Lepisosteus oculatus: one gene and its partner. Each later gene encodes a partner of the first gene's protein in a complex. Links are inferred from orthologs where the notes say so. Each region holds a gene or a part of one and is shown on either strand. Other genes may lie near its edges.

What was found.
Region 2: the proteins of iffo1b (region 1) and xrcc4 are in contact, whole or in part, in a crystal structure (PDB 6ABO), measured with the Homo sapiens proteins. The link is inferred for Lepisosteus oculatus from reciprocal best matches to the Homo sapiens genes IFFO1 and XRCC4. Residues at the interface, in NP_001317253.1 of Homo sapiens: Arg469, Glu470, Tyr473, Ile477, Gln479, Ile480, Glu481, Glu483, Leu484, Ala487, Lys488, Asp490, Met491, Arg493, His494, Leu495, Tyr498, Met501, Lys505, Leu508, Asp509, Met512, Cys515, Arg516, Leu518, Ile519, Thr520, Gln521; in NP_001304941.1 of Homo sapiens: Trp155, Val158, Gln159, Phe162, Glu163, Cys165, Val166, Lys169, Glu170, Glu173, Leu176, Tyr177, Phe180, Val183, Leu184, Lys187, Lys188, Lys190, Ile191, Leu194, His195, Lys197, Leu198, Ala201, Ala202, Arg205, Glu212.

What each region holds. Positions count from the first base shown.
Region 1 is NC_090718.1:3,679,914-3,687,657, forward strand, and holds the start of iffo1b (non-homologous end joining factor IFFO1), read left to right. Parts: upstream 1-4,499; 5' UTR 4,500-4,788; coding exon 4,789-5,801; intron 5,802-7,744. Other genes in the region: opn9 (opsin 9), read left to right, coding at 113-390. UniProt on the Homo sapiens protein: Nuclear matrix protein involved in the immobilization of broken DNA ends and the suppression of chromosome translocation during DNA double-strand breaks (DSBs).
Region 2 is NC_090698.1:70,692,916-70,700,322, reverse strand, and holds the start of xrcc4 (DNA repair protein XRCC4), read right to left. Parts: upstream 3,251-7,407; 5' UTR 3,236-3,250; coding exon 3,222-3,235; intron 3,055-3,221; coding exon 3,016-3,054; intron 1-3,015.

The DNA of each region.
Region 1 (7,744 bases):
CTGGTGTGTTTCTTACCCCACTCTCGAATTGACTGAAGGAGTTGTATGGGCATTGACGAAGCAGTAACATTTAGCGAGCAGCCATGGCGAGCCCCCTCTGACTCTCTCACAGGGGGAAGACGCGGCAGCCTCAGTCTGTCCTCCACCTGCAGTTGGGGGTGCAGCACCGACACTGGGTCCTGGGTGGCAGACAGGGAGAGGCAGGGAGTGAGCTGGCCGGACCTGGCGAGAGGGGCATCTCTGGACATGGGAGGCCTGGACACCCAGCGGAACCTGCAGAGAGGAGAAGAGGAGGAGAGAGGCAGGCCTGGAGGAGGAGGAGGAGGAGGAGGAAGAGGACAGTCTCCTGCTAACAGCATGCTGACGTTCCACGAGGAAAACAGGGTGTGAGAGACAGGAGGCGGAGGGGGTTGGGGGTTAAAGAAGGAAACAGAAGAAAAGGAGAGAGGGAGGGAGAGGAAGGTAGGGAAGGAGAGGAAGAGGCACTGGGATTGAGAGAAAGAGGAGGAAAGAACAGGGCAGCGAGGTAAGGGGAGCTCCTGAGATGTCATTTGTATGATGCACCATACCGGTACAAACATCCTGGATTTGAAAGCTCATGTCGAATCAGAGGGAATCGAAAGATTTTCTCACGTTTAAACAGCTTTGTTGGCATGGCTGGTATATTACAGGTGTTGCCAAAGCATATACAGTCAATAACACCTCTACAGATATTTTAAATGCAAACACATCATAGGAAATTAACATACAACATATAGAATATTATTGAAAGTTGTGTTCACTGTTTCTCAAGAGACAGGCTCACTCTCTGTTCCTCAGGCTGGGACAGGAGATCACACACTGTATTATTATTATTATTATTATTATTATTATTATTATTGAGACTGGCTCACTGTCTGTTCCTCAGGCTGGGACAGGAGATCACACACTGTATTATTAATATTGAGAGACAGGCTCGCTGTCTGTTCCTCAGGCTGGGACAGGAGATCACACACTGTATTATTATTATTATTGAGACAGGCTCACTGTCTGTTCCTCAGGCTGGGACAGGAGATCACACACTGTATTGTTATTATTATTGAACTTGAACTTGAACTTTATTGCCATATGTAACCGGTACTGGTACAATGGAATTCTTACTTACAGAAAGTCTCTCGATTGTAAAACAAGTGTAAAAAACCAAACAAAGTGCAAACTGTGCATCAAGACAATATACAAACAAACAGTAGACAATGTACAAGTAAACATGTAGACAGTTTGAATGTAAACAATACAGACGTGTAAACAATGACTGGAGATGTGCAATAAATAAGAAATCATTAAGAGGTAGATGGTGATGGTGTAGGTGTGGTCCGAGGGGGATGGCTAAATGTGTTTGCCAATCTCACTGCTTGTGGATAGAAGCTATTGAAGAATCTAGTGGTAAGTGTCCGTATGCTCTTATATCTCTTGCCTGAGGGCAGTGGGGTGAAGAGCTCATGCCCGGGGTGGTGACTGTCCTCTGTGATGGCCAGAATTCTACCACGGCAGCAGTCCTCAAAGAGCTGTTTAATCTCGGTGAGACCGCAGCCGATGATCTTCTGGGCCATATTGACCATTCTCTGCAGTGCCTTTCTTTCTCGTGAAGAGGTGTTGCCATACCACACGGTGATCCCGTTGGTGAGGACGCTCTCGATGGTGCAGCGGTAGAAGTTCACCAACACATGTATTGGCATCCCCCATCGCTTGAGGCACCTCAAGAAATAAAGGCGCTGCTGAGCCTTCTTCATGATAGAGTCAGTGTTCACAGTCCAGGTTAGATCTTTAGAGATGTGAATTCCCAAAAACCTAAAGCTGGTGAATGTTTCCACTTCCGTTCCATCAATACTGAGTGGGCTGTGAGTGTGTGGCCTGTGTCTCCGAAAGTCCACTATTAGCTCCTTCGTTTTCTTTATGTTCAAGTCCAGGTTATTGCTATGACACCACCTAAGCAGCTGTACGACTTCATCCCTGTAAGTGGACTCGTCATCATCACTGATCAGTCCTATTATAGTGGTGTCATCGGCAAACTTAATGATGCGGTTGTTGCTGTGTCTTGCTGTGCAGTCGTGAGTGAACAGGGAGTACAACCTTGGACTCAGACAGCAGCCTTGTGGGGTTCCAGTGCTCAGGGTGAGTGGTGTTGATGTTTTATTGCCTATCCGCACCACCTGTGGTCTCTCGATAAGAAAGTCCAGCAGCCAGTTGCAGACAGAGTTGCACAGACCTAATCCCCTGAGCTTTGTCACCAGTTGACTGGGTATGATGGAATTGAATGCTGAACTGTAGTCCACAAACAGCATTCTCACATACGAGTTCTTAGTGTCCAGGTGTTCCAAGGCTGTATGAAGAGCCAGGGAGACAACATCATCCACTGATCTGTTGTTCTGGTAGGCGAACTGCAAGGGGTCCAGGGATTCTGTGATGGAGGAGTTGATGTGTGACAACACCAGCTTCTCCAGGCATTTCATCACCACAGATGTTAATGCTACTGGGTGGTAATCATATTGAGAGACAGGCTCACTGTCTGTTCCTCAGGCTGGGACAGGAGATCACACTCTGTAATGCAACTCTGTTGAGTCCCCCCCTCCCAGTATGACTGGAAACCGTTCTGATTCTGGCAGGTGTGGGAATTCTGGGATAAGATTAATCATTTTAGGGAAGCATGTCTGTCTGATCCCAGAGTATTTCTCACAGTGCAGCAGAAAAGTGCATCTCTGCCTCTGCTTGTCGGCACTGGTAGTGGGAGCACAGTCTGCATTTTTCTTCCCCTCTCTCAGCATTTGCACTTGTCTACAGTATCCTTCTGCCTGCATCTCAGTCTCCGTTTTCTTCCATGCTGGCTATGCTAGCTGACTGATGGACAAGAATATTCACAATGAACAGAAAGATCCTAAACTGTCATTTGTCTTTCAACTGGGTATGATGTAATTCATCCATCCTTTAATTCAACCAGTCCAGAGACTGGGGGGGACCCAGAGCCTAACGGGTGCCAGGCGGGGTACACCCTGCTTGATGAGGACGCCAGTCCACAGACACAGACTCACACTGGGGTCAATTTTTACCAGAAGCCAATTAACCGACCACTATGTCTTTGGCCTCTGGGAGGAAACCCGAGCTCCCTGTGGAAACCTACAGGAAAATGGGGAGAACATGCAAACTCTACACAGACAGCACCCCAATTCTGGATTCGAACCCAGGGCTGCAAGTTAGCAACGCTGACCACTGTACCATCACTTTGCTTCACGTACACAACGCCTCCACTCGGCCAGGACTAAAGACCAAATAGATTCAGTTCTTTTCCCTAGTCGGTACAGAACATTTCTTTGACTGTATGAATGTTTCTAGTGACTTTTTTTTGGCTAGACTTTAAAAAAAAAATGTCTTAGGACCCCTCTTCTTATAGTGACAACAAACGCTTGGGATTCCAAAAAAAATTAATCTATAAACCAGAAGAGCCCAAAGACGAGTACTGTTCTCCCAGTACTGTCCTTAAAAGTTAATCTGTCTGTGCCCTGCTCTTCCCCAACCCAACTCGGACTCTCGGATACCCAGAGATTCTGAACAGAGAGGCTTTTAAAAACGGCACGGGCGTGAGATTCATCCCTGTCCTTCGGGGCGGCTCTCCGGAACTCTCCTGCAGTGAAGAGAGCCGCACGCCGGCTGGACACGAAGAGGTCATTTTCATTGACCCTGGCCAGCCCCTCATCTCGCACTAACCTAAAATGACTTCGGGATTGTTGCAGCCGCGCACAAGTGATTACAAAAAACAAACTACGCATTCATCAGTCGGCACAGTAAAACCTGGGCACTTGGTGTCCCAAACACGCACCCCTCAGAAAACCACGCACACGCACTGTACAATAATAAGACCGAGCGCCGCAGGCTGCATTCCAGTTGTGTTGACTCACTGACGTCAATGGCATGCTACCGTACTGATCAGATAACACGAGCGATGAAAAATAGGGCTGTTTCTTTGTCCCGGGACATCGTGGCAGCAATATAGGCAAAATGTTCCAAACGCAAAAACCCACAAGGATGCATCCGTTTTCAATAACGGATCAGTCCAGGGTTTCCCAATCTTGGTCTACGGGTTAGCTGAGCTCCTGACTGAAACGAAGCCTTCACTGAACCAGCAAACACGTCGCCTGGTTACAACCTTCGCAAGTTTTTTTTTATCCAGCTCGGAGGGCGGATATTTTAAGTTACTCATGAAATACAATAGTTAAAAGTCAACCTCCTACACGTTTCGGAACTGAGAACACCTACAGAGTTTAAATTGACCTTATTAGTAGGTGCATTCAGGGTGAAATTATTTGAATGACTGCTCATTTGGACCCTTTCTACAATGGTAGGGACGTGCAGACTCCACACAGAAGGACCTCCGGGTCTGGCATCAGAACTGGGGCTCGGGAGCTGTGTCGCGGAGGCGCTATTTAAAACAGCTCGACTTTTTCCAAGCAGCGCGGGGGGGGAGATGCTTGAAAGAGGTTGCTTATACTCGCAGACATACGATGGTGAAAAAGCCGCATTCAGCCATTTTTTTCAAAACAGACAGCAGTCTAGCGAATAACGTTTAGCTGGGCTTCGCATAGTTAGCAGCCAGCTTTAGCGCACTAGTCGTGTGGCTTGGTTACAAAATACGCTTTTATTCCAGCTGTTAGCGGACTTTGCTTGCAGTTTATTGTGTCTGATTTCATCTCGGCGTCTGCCTGCTCTTCTGAATATTCGGATTTAAAAGCATACATACTAAAAATAATTATAATTTTCATGCCCGATTTGGAGCGCTTCAAGCTGACCCATACAATGAATCCTTTATTAAGTGCCAACGTCTTTCTGCTACAGCAACAGCAACAACAGCTTCAGCAACAGCAGCAGGCGGCCCAGCAGGACTCCTCGGGTCTGCTGCCGGACCCGGCTCATGGCGCAGGCGAGCCGGGCTTTCTCTTAAGCGAGCACCAGGGCTTTGCGGCCGACTCCCTCCCGGGGCTCGATTTGAGCTCCCTGCCGCCCGGGCTCGCTTACTTCCACCTCAACAACCCCCTCTACCGGCCCCCGCCTCCTCCCCCGGCCATGGCCCTGCGGAACGACCTGGGCTCCAACATCAGCGTCCTGAAAACGCTCAACCTGCGTTTCCGCTGCTTTCTGGCTAAAGTGCACGAACTGGAGCGGCGGAATAAGATTTTGGAGAAGCAGCTGCAGCAGGCGCTGGAAGCCGGCGGCGGGGGAGGGGGCCTGGGAAACGGAGACGGGAGAAGACCGGAGACCAGGGAGCAAGGCGTCCAGACCGGCTTTGTCGGGCCCATCTCGTTCCGACCCGGCTTGCTCAACTTCCCCAACTCCAACAGCTCGGTCTACCGGGGCCCGAGCGTCTTTACCCCAAGTCTGACCACGGTGCTGACCCTGGAGCCCACGAACCTGAACCCGGACTCGAACTCGAACCCCGATCCGAACTCCAGGTCGACCTCTGCGGCCGACGGGGCCAACGCCAACACCACTACCACCACCACCACCAGCACCAGCACCGGCACCAGTACAGGGACTAGCTGCGGCGTCAACTCCACCACCAACCCGCCGCCCCGGTTCTTGCCCGGGACAATCTGGTCCTACAACCACACTCGCAAAGTTGGCCCGGGTCTGGAAACCCGGGTCACCGGCCCAGGCGTGTCCTGGGTCCACCCGGACGGAGTCGGGGTTCAAATCGATACTATAACACCCGAGATCCGTGCCCTGTACAACGTGCTGGCTAAAGTGAAGCGAGAGAGGGACGAGTACAAGCGAAGGTTGTTATTATTATTATTTTATTGTTGTTATTATTATTGTTATTGTTTTATTGTTACTGTTTAATTCTCCTCTAGGGGCGCCTTACGGCTCTAGCGACATAGTTGTTGTACTATCGTGGCCGTGCTATAACGTTCTCGGGTCGATTTTTGCTTAATAATTGACCGGGATCTAATGCGGGTGTGTGATGGTGTCTCTTTCTAGATGACTTCATCTCTACAGGGTAGCTGTGCATAGGACATCTGCCCATGGGTCCATATGGGGTCTCTCAACTTTTTGTGTAGTAACACACACAGTACATATGTCTTTCAGTAGATCCACAGTGTCCCTTGGCTTAATCAGGGTCACATATCAGCCTCCCGCTGCGCAGCGGTCTGCTCCGCTCCAGGTTTTACCAGCTGCAGGGGCTCTTGTAGGGATGCCAACAGCAGGCATTTCAACACAGGCCTGCCTGCTGCTTTGAGTGTGAGTCAGCTGCCACTGTTAAGCAGGCGAGGTGTGTGCCTCTGGGGTTTTTGGGAAGATGTGTTCTCGTTCTTGGGGAAAGATCTGCTCTTAAACGTGAGGGCGCTAGGGGCCCGGGGAGAGTTTCTGGTCCCGTTCCTGTCACTTCTTGCAGTCGTTACAGAGGAGCTTGGTCATTCCACTAGAAATCCGGGGTGCAAATGTACCTCTGTTGCTTCTAGAGGGAGAGAGTCCGGGCTGCTGCTTTACTGTCACAGGCTGGGCGTGAAACCGGCCAGCTGTTTCTGAGCAATTCCAAATGGGAAGATTGGGGATCCGGCAGACCGACAGGACGACCCCCAACTCTGTGCCCCAAGACTGCCAACAGCCATGTCACCCTGCAGCTCCCAGCTGGCAGCCCCACTGGAGCTCAGCAGTGTGAGTCTGGCCAGTACCTGGATGGGAGACTCCTGGGAGAGCTAAGGCTGCTGCTGGAAGAGGTGTTAGTGGGGCCAGTAGGGGGCGCTCAGCCTGAGGTCTGTGTGGGTCCTAATGCCCCAGTATAGTGACTATACTGTAAAAAGGCACCGTCCTCTGAATGAGACGTAAAACCGGGGTCCTGACTCTCTGTGGTCATTAAAAATCCCAGGGTTTTTCTCGAAAGAGGAGAGGGGGTGTTGGTGGAGGGGAGTCCCATCACCCGTAGAGCACTTTGAGTGGAGTGTCCAGAAAAGAGCTATATAAGTGGAAGGAAATTATTATCTTCTGATTTCTGGCTGAGCTCAGCTCCACCTCGTCTAGGTCGCCCGTAATTTAAGCACACTCAGTGTAAAGACTGGAGTGGGCTTCGAAGCGGTGTAGAGTTTCGGTGCTCATGGAGTTCATCGCTGAGTGACCCCCACGGGCTCCGAGGGTGCCGACGACCGGTCAAGTCCCAGCCGCTGCCTCCGGCTGACCTCTGGCTGCGACCTCGATGGCTGACCGGGATCCGTCACCTCAGCAGAGCAGCAGGCGCCAGCCCGTCCAGCACTTGCCAAATTAAAGTCGCCAATTGGGAAATCACAATTCAGACGTCGCTGGTCCAAAAGTCTCAGGTAGCCAGTGCGGGGAGCTGAGTGCTGAAGTTAAGGTGCAAGAGAGGGGGTGTGTGAACTGGCCATCTGTGCTGCGATCTGGACAAGTTCATCAGCGCACACGTTGATCGCATTGCTCTTTCTTGCCGCGCCAGTAGCAGCACCATGAAGAGCATTAAGAAAGTTGCATCAGAGGTGGGCAGCCTCCTCATCCAGTTCATTGACAAGAGGATCTCACCCAGCCCTTTTCTGGAAATATAGCAGGGTTGTTATAGCATTGGTTCTAAGGATATAGCTGGGCTGTTTGTTCCAGGAGTGGGGAAAATGAGTTTCCTGATGTTTTAACCCATGACTGTGCCGCAGGCCCTGAAGCTGACCTGTGGGTCCCTCGTCAGGAGCAGTGTTGGCACCTGGGGAGGTTTCAGCCC
Region 2 (7,407 bases), on another chromosome or scaffold:
TTCTTGGAACGTCATGCTTATGAAATACTCTTTTCTTTTAAACAGAACAATACACTTTAAAATGAGATTTTTTTTTGCAAGAAATATTTAAATAGGCCTTTGAGAAATACACACAACAGTCCATATTCAACAGTGATTGCAAAAGTATTCAGCACCTGCCAATAATATTACATTAGGATGCATATACTTATTTGCTTTTACAAATGAACTTTGTTTTATTTAGAACTGTAATGATCAATGTCATATGTGCGGGAGGTTGAAAGTCAGCACAAAAGCTTTGCACAGTGGGATGGGGTATGTTTGTTCATTCCTCCTGACAAACGTATTTCACTCCTAACAAGTCGACTGGGGAGAATTCACAGTCAACAATCGTCAAGCAAACCTTGTCACAAACTTTCTATTGGATTCGTATCAGAACATTGAAGTTTGCGGAGCAGTGGCACTGTGGCTAAGGATCTGCGCCTGTGGCTGGAAGGTTGCCGGTTCGTATCCCGTGGCCGGCAGAGGAATCCTACTCCGTTGGGCCCCTGAGCAAGGCCCTTAACCCCAACTGCTCCAGGGGCGCCGTATAAATGGCTGACCCTGCGCTCTGACCCCAAGCTTCTCTCCTCGTCTGTGTGTCTCATGGAGAGCAAGCTGGGGTATGCAAAAAGACGAATTCCTAATGTAAGAAATTCTATATGGCCAATAAAGTGATCTTAACTAACTTAAACATTCATTCCATTGTTGTCGGACCACTTCATTGTGCTTTGGCCCTGTACTGAAATGTGATTTTAGAACCGATTTTAGATTCTTGGGCAACTAAAACAAGTACTGTATTTCTCAAGACTTTGCTCCATCTATTTTCCCCTTAGTCTTGACATGCGTCTCCACTGAAGAGAAGCAGCCCCGTAACTTGATGCTGTTACCAGCATACTTGAGAGCTGGGGTGGAGTTGACTGGGTAATGTGTTGTATTGGGCCTGCATCAGATGTAACTCTTTGCATTTAGACTACAAAAACATCAGTTTTTGTCTAATTTGATCATAAACCCTTCTGTTACCCTCCATGTCTGCATTGTATTTTCTAGAAGATTTGAGATGAATTGTTTGCAGGAATGTCTTCTGTCATTGCTTTCACCCATAGAGACTACCTCATGCTGGGAACAGTGATAGTGTATGAACAACAACTCCCATTCTAGACAAAAGAAACTGCAAATATTTCAAAATCACTGTTGGCTTCACAGTTACTTTACTAACCACTTACCTGCTTGCTCAGCTGCTGAGTTTGTGTCTTGGTAATATGCTGCAAATTCCAGTCCAGTTGTCAATAATGAACTTCACTGAATTAAACTAGCTTTCTTCTACTCTATGCCTTTATCAGTTTATGCATAATTTGTTTCAACAACTCCTTGGTTTTCATGGTCAATTTGGTGTGTCACAATATGAGCTTGAAATGGCTTGAAATGCAGTATCTGACTGAACTTACAGAGACAGATGCAGTTACTCTGAACTGGTCAATTCACACCACTTTGATTACACACAGACAGGGAACGTTGCATGAATGCTGTGATCTTTCAGACTGTTATTTTGCACCTCAACTGATTTAGGTCTTCCGTAATAAAGAGGGTTGAATACTTATGCAACTGAGAATCTTCTCATTTTCTATAAAGATCTCATTTATTTGCTCGCCATCAGCATTTTTACCTTTACCAGTTTGAAGTAGACTCTGTAGATTTGTTGTACTGTTATTGCAAGCTCAGACAGAAACAAAATGTAGAAGCTTTGCGGTGGGTGAATAATTGTGCAAGGCACTGTAATCAGAAAAGCAAGAAACACTTCATTAATTAATGCATCTTTTTACCTTGCGTTGATAAGTTGCACAGACCATAATGTTCTGTTTTCTCCATCACTCACAACAACAGTTGTTAAGAAACACTCAGAGGAAAATGAATGGAACAATTTTCTTCTAGGTTTTCATGTTTGGTTTGCAATTGAAGCCTTTCACAAGGCCCAGGGGTATGTTAAAAACCACATGCCTCCAAGGCTCACTTTTACTCCAAACAACACTGCAGCTTAATGAAAACAACCCCTCACTTCATAACAACCCTGAATGGTTTCAAGTTAGATAACACCAATAGAAAATATCAAATACATGCACTGATTCATAAAATTACAGTAGCTGTAGAAGCAACAGACAGGATCTTGTATGGACCAGACATGTACCATGCACAGGTACTGTATACAGTAGGTATCCAATATGAATTAGTTGGACTAGTGCACAAATATTCCAGTTCTCAGATATAAACTGCTTATACAGCAGAGAGGACAAATGTGTGCCCACTCATTGAAACAGAACCATACAATTGGATTAAAATGGATGACCTTGTGTTGACAGTGGTGATATTGATATCTGATTACAATCTTTTCTTCCCATCTAAAGTGCATTCTCAATTCAATGATACAAGGCTGTTTCTCATTTCTTTAGCTCACCCGCTGTGCAGTGGGTGATCTGCTATCCTATGGCTACCACACATCGCCAGGATACCACCTTCACTGCTCGCAGAGGGGCTAAATGGGCCAAAGGACCTCTTCTTTGCTGAATGGACTGGGTCACCTCCTACATGAAAAGTGCTTTCTAAAATGTCGAATAAACTCAAATACTGTAAGTATATTTATGGTGGTCTGCTTGAAACCTGGGACAACAGTGTAAGCTTCCAGAGCTACAAAAGGCTTTTCTCGGGGGCTGATTATAACATCTAAAGTGGAATTACGAATCAGAAAAGAGCTTCAACAATACAATTTATTGTTAAAGAGGCAACTTACTCAACCATGGACACGAACATTAATTGTGAGCATTAAACTAAAAAATGGCAGCAAGACAATATTTTATACACTGTAAGTATCAATATCTTTTGGTAATTTTCTTGGCAGTAAGAACTATAGAGGCTTGTACTCTCAGTGGTTATGGAAACTTAACCTTTGAGTACAATAAACTGCATAGAGGGGTAATGTGTCAACGTTTATATATTACTTACTCAACAAACATTCCAATAAAGAGAAAGATTAGCTCCGTGCTGAAATGACAAAAAAAAACAATTATACCTGTGGAACCCTCTTTAGGTAAGAGAATATTTACCAATTTTTTTTTTATGTACCACCATAGATGTGACGACCATAATTTGTAAACCTTTTGTGCATACGTTTGGGGACCCCTGTATCTACTGTTTTTTATCATTCTTACTGTAATCTTGTCATTGATCTGCTTGCTTGTCTTGACTTTTTTTCTGCACTCTGCCTGGATTAAAACAAACAACAAATCAGTCATTAAGAATTTGCTCCCTTCTTTCTGATCCGAAACCTCTTCAAAGTCAATCATCGGATGCTGAACGGACGCGGAATGTCACTGTGTAAACGGGCCCATCACGACCGTTTGCTTCTTCCTTCCACTTAAGTCCTGCTGGTTATGTTTCAGCTCACACAGCGGAACGAGAGGCATCCTGAAACTGAAAACGGCTCAGGGTTGATACCACTTTCAAATGCCATGTGACTTTTTATAAGGGCTGAATGAAAATTTGCCAGACACACTTCAAACGGGACAGTGAGAGCCTTTTGACTGCGACGAAGAAATATTTCGCTGGGTCAAAAGCCAAAGGACACAGCGGTCCTTCAGGACCAGAGCTGAGAATCACTGGCCTGTTTCCTCCATGGGTATTCTTTTTATTATTATTTATTTTGTACTTTATGGGTACTTCCACGGAAAACACAGGCTGCGTAACAAAATACCACCACACAGTATGATGCCAATAATGCAACACTCCTTACATCGTATCTCAAACATATCTGAAACCATGAAGAGCCACATCAGGTTTGGCAGTGACAAATCTACCACCAGGATAAAAGTTACGGTATTGAATGACATATTAGTATATGTAATAGTATATTATGTGTAATAGAATATGCTCCAGTATGCAATATACATCAAGGCTGTGCATTTCTTCCTTACCTTTTATAAGCAATTCCAACCTGAAGGTAGAAAAAGCAGCATTTCAGCTGTGGAGCCTTCTTCAGGTGTGAAGGCTTTTAAATACAAGGTCTCGATAATTTGAGACCAGAGTTGGATGCAGCCTTTACGTGTTCCTTTGCAGCTTGGACACTGATGCAGTTCCCTATTAAAACCATTCCTACTGGACTGAGATGAACTAATTTACCCATTAAATGTATTATGTTACTGGGAAAGGGAGGTGTGAGAATCCAACAACAACACTGTGTAGTAGTAACTTGGAGATTTCAGGGACTCAAGTCTCATTCCAAGTTTCAAGGACTGTCAGTGACCCCCATGAAATGACTTCAGAATGAAGCAAATGGGTTCTTGTGAAATCACTGAAAAGTTGGCTTTTGTTCCCATTAAATGTGAAAAATGGGTTCAGCGTTGAAATATAAAAGTCTGCTTTACAGTAACGTCTTAATGTTTCATGTACAGCAGGAATTCACCTTCGCTCTCAAGATGAATAAGAACCCAGGTGCTCCCACACAGTCTCTACCTGCACCTACAAGACCCACGACTACACTCCTTTCCCCATCGCCCATCTCCCACTCACACCCACTGTGCTGCCGATCATGTTGTCTTCCTGGCCAGCCACATTAGGATACACAAGAAATGACCACTGGACGTGTTGAAAAAATCCCGAATGTCAAATTCTGTGATTGCACTTCGATCTCCCTAACAACCTCAGCCTCTGGGCAGTTGTTGCTTTTTACTTACTGCTTTTTTTGCTTTTTACTTATTGCTTTCTAAACTACTTGGGGAAAATCAATTATCATTGTCAATGGCAAGATACATAGAAACGCGAGATTTGCAAGAAACACATGCAGTATAGCAGGATCCATACTCATGGAACGCTCCATTGGAAATATCCTTACCTAGAAACCACTAGTAGCTGCTGACTGTGGGGCGTCCGTAAAGTGATGTTGGCTTTTGAAAAAGTTCATGATTCAGTGAAGTATACAGCAAAATGTAAAACCAATGCTTATTTAACTGAACTGATATATGCAATTATGACTAAAATATGCAATCAGAAACAAAAACAACATGCAAATACGCACCTCCAAATGCCAATACAAAGCACTGTCGCTTAAGAATGTGTAACACAAAGTCAACTTGACCAAAGACATCAGAAAAAAAAATGAAGGCGATTTAAAATTACAAGTAAAAATTACGAAAAAACAGTCATGCTGTTTAAGATGGGCTAAAGATTAAAAAGACTATTTATATTTTAGAACAGATTAAACGTTAACCTCAAAAGAGGATGGCTGAGACACAGTAACATCTGCACACAAGACAATGGCCTAACGACAGTAACGACAGACAAGCACCCAAATTAAATCAGCAGTCACTCAGGAGCTGCACTGTGATAGGAAGGAGAGAAACTTCAGAGATAATGAAAGAATTTGGCTGAATAGTTCCATTAATGTGGAGAGGAAGCTGAATACCCTTTTTACCTAACCTGTATTGAGACATTCAAATTCATACAGATTGTTCAGGTGGTCCCTAGGAAAAACATTTTCCTTGTAGTACAGTATATACAGTATGGACAGGATCTGGCAAAATTATTCACACCCTTGCATAGTCTTTATATTTTGTTTCTTTAATTAAAAATGGAAATGTCATGATAGTGAAAAATCAAATTAACAACCCACACAGTTAGTTAAGTGGTCTCTGTGTGGAATAATAGTGGTTCACAACTATTTCAGGGTAAATACATCCATCTCTGTGAGGTCCCCCAGTCAGGTAGTATATTTCAAGTTTATATTTGAACCATGAAGGCAAATACACATTCAAAACAACTGAGGGATAAAGATGTAGAAAGGTACAGAGCAAAAAAGGGGATACAAATCTTTCAAAGACTAAAAATTAATATCTCTTTGAGCATGGTGAAGGCAATCATTAAGAGGTGGAAGGCACCCAGACACTGTCTAGGTCAGGCTGCCCCTCTATACTGAGCAGCCAGGCAGGGAGGAAGATGGTTAAGGATGCCACCATGAGGCCACCTGACACTTTGACAGAGAATTCCATGACCATGAGAGGAGATAATGTTCATTGGTCATCAACATCCCAATCATTCCACAAAAGAAGCATTCTTATCATTTTTGGTCTAAATGAAGTCGCATCTAACACATACCCAACACAGAGCTTCACTCAGATAATACCATCCCGACTGTCAAGAATGATGGGGGCGACTTTATGTGACAGTTCTGTTTCTCATCAGCAGGTACTGGGGTGCTTGTCAAGACTGAAGAGAACATAAATAGAGCAAAATACTTAGTGGAAAACCAGCTTCAGATCTAAAACTGGGACAAAAATTCACCTTTCTGCAGGACAGCTATCTAAAGTACAAGGCCAAAACTACACTGAAGTGGCTTATGAATAAGAAAGTTAATACCCTTGAGTAACCAAGTCAAAGTCCTGACCTGAGTCCTATTAAGGACATGTGGAAAGAAACTGCTGTCCATAAGTTATCCCCAAGGAACTTGAGAGAGGTTAAGCAAATCTGCCAGGATGAATGGGCAGGTTCTGCACCAAGCTGATACTCTGCACCAAGGTTATACTCTATACTCTGCAAGAAGACGTGCAGATACAAGCAGTGCCAAACACAATCAACATATTTCATTTCTTCCTCTTAAGAATTTAAGTTTAAACCATTGTGTATGCATCACTTTGTAGCTTCAAAAGCCGGATACCATAGGTGGAGTCTGAATGCGTCACAGGCCACAGATGATTTTGACGAAGAACGGATTGAACACACAAGAGACGCACACCAGCTTCAGACACAAAATTTGTCAGAGGAGAGTGGCATTAATATTGCACTCACGTGTAAAAATGTGCCATAAAGAAGGCCGCAAGTGCAGAATTGCGACTTCTGACCACAGCTGGCAGCTCCCAGATGGCAACCGAGCGTAGCTATGCCAGCCAAAATCAGTTGTATGCCTTCCAACTAAAACTGCCAGGTTACTGCTCCTGCTGTTGGCTGCCTCATAAACACTATAATGGCTTAACACCAACCAGACAAAGTGCTAAAGATAAACAACTCAATTCCTGACTGTTGCAGCTTCTCAATAAATGTGATTTACAAGTATTGTCCTCAGACTCCACGGCCCCCACCTGCAGTCTAAGTTGGATGGCAAATGCCTGGAGAGGGAGGGAAGAGCACAGGAGGGGATCCTCTGTAGGCCCACAGGGAACAACTCGCCTGTTATCTCCCCATGCCCATCAGTCAAGGCTCACTGGCAGGTTGCTGCCTTGCACTGGGAATGAACTGACTGTCACCATTCACTGCAACACTGAATGGGAACTGACAGCAGAAAGGCAGGCTTGGCTGTGCCCCACACAGACATCTCTGTAAACGTGCAGTCACCTTTTAAAATTAGAA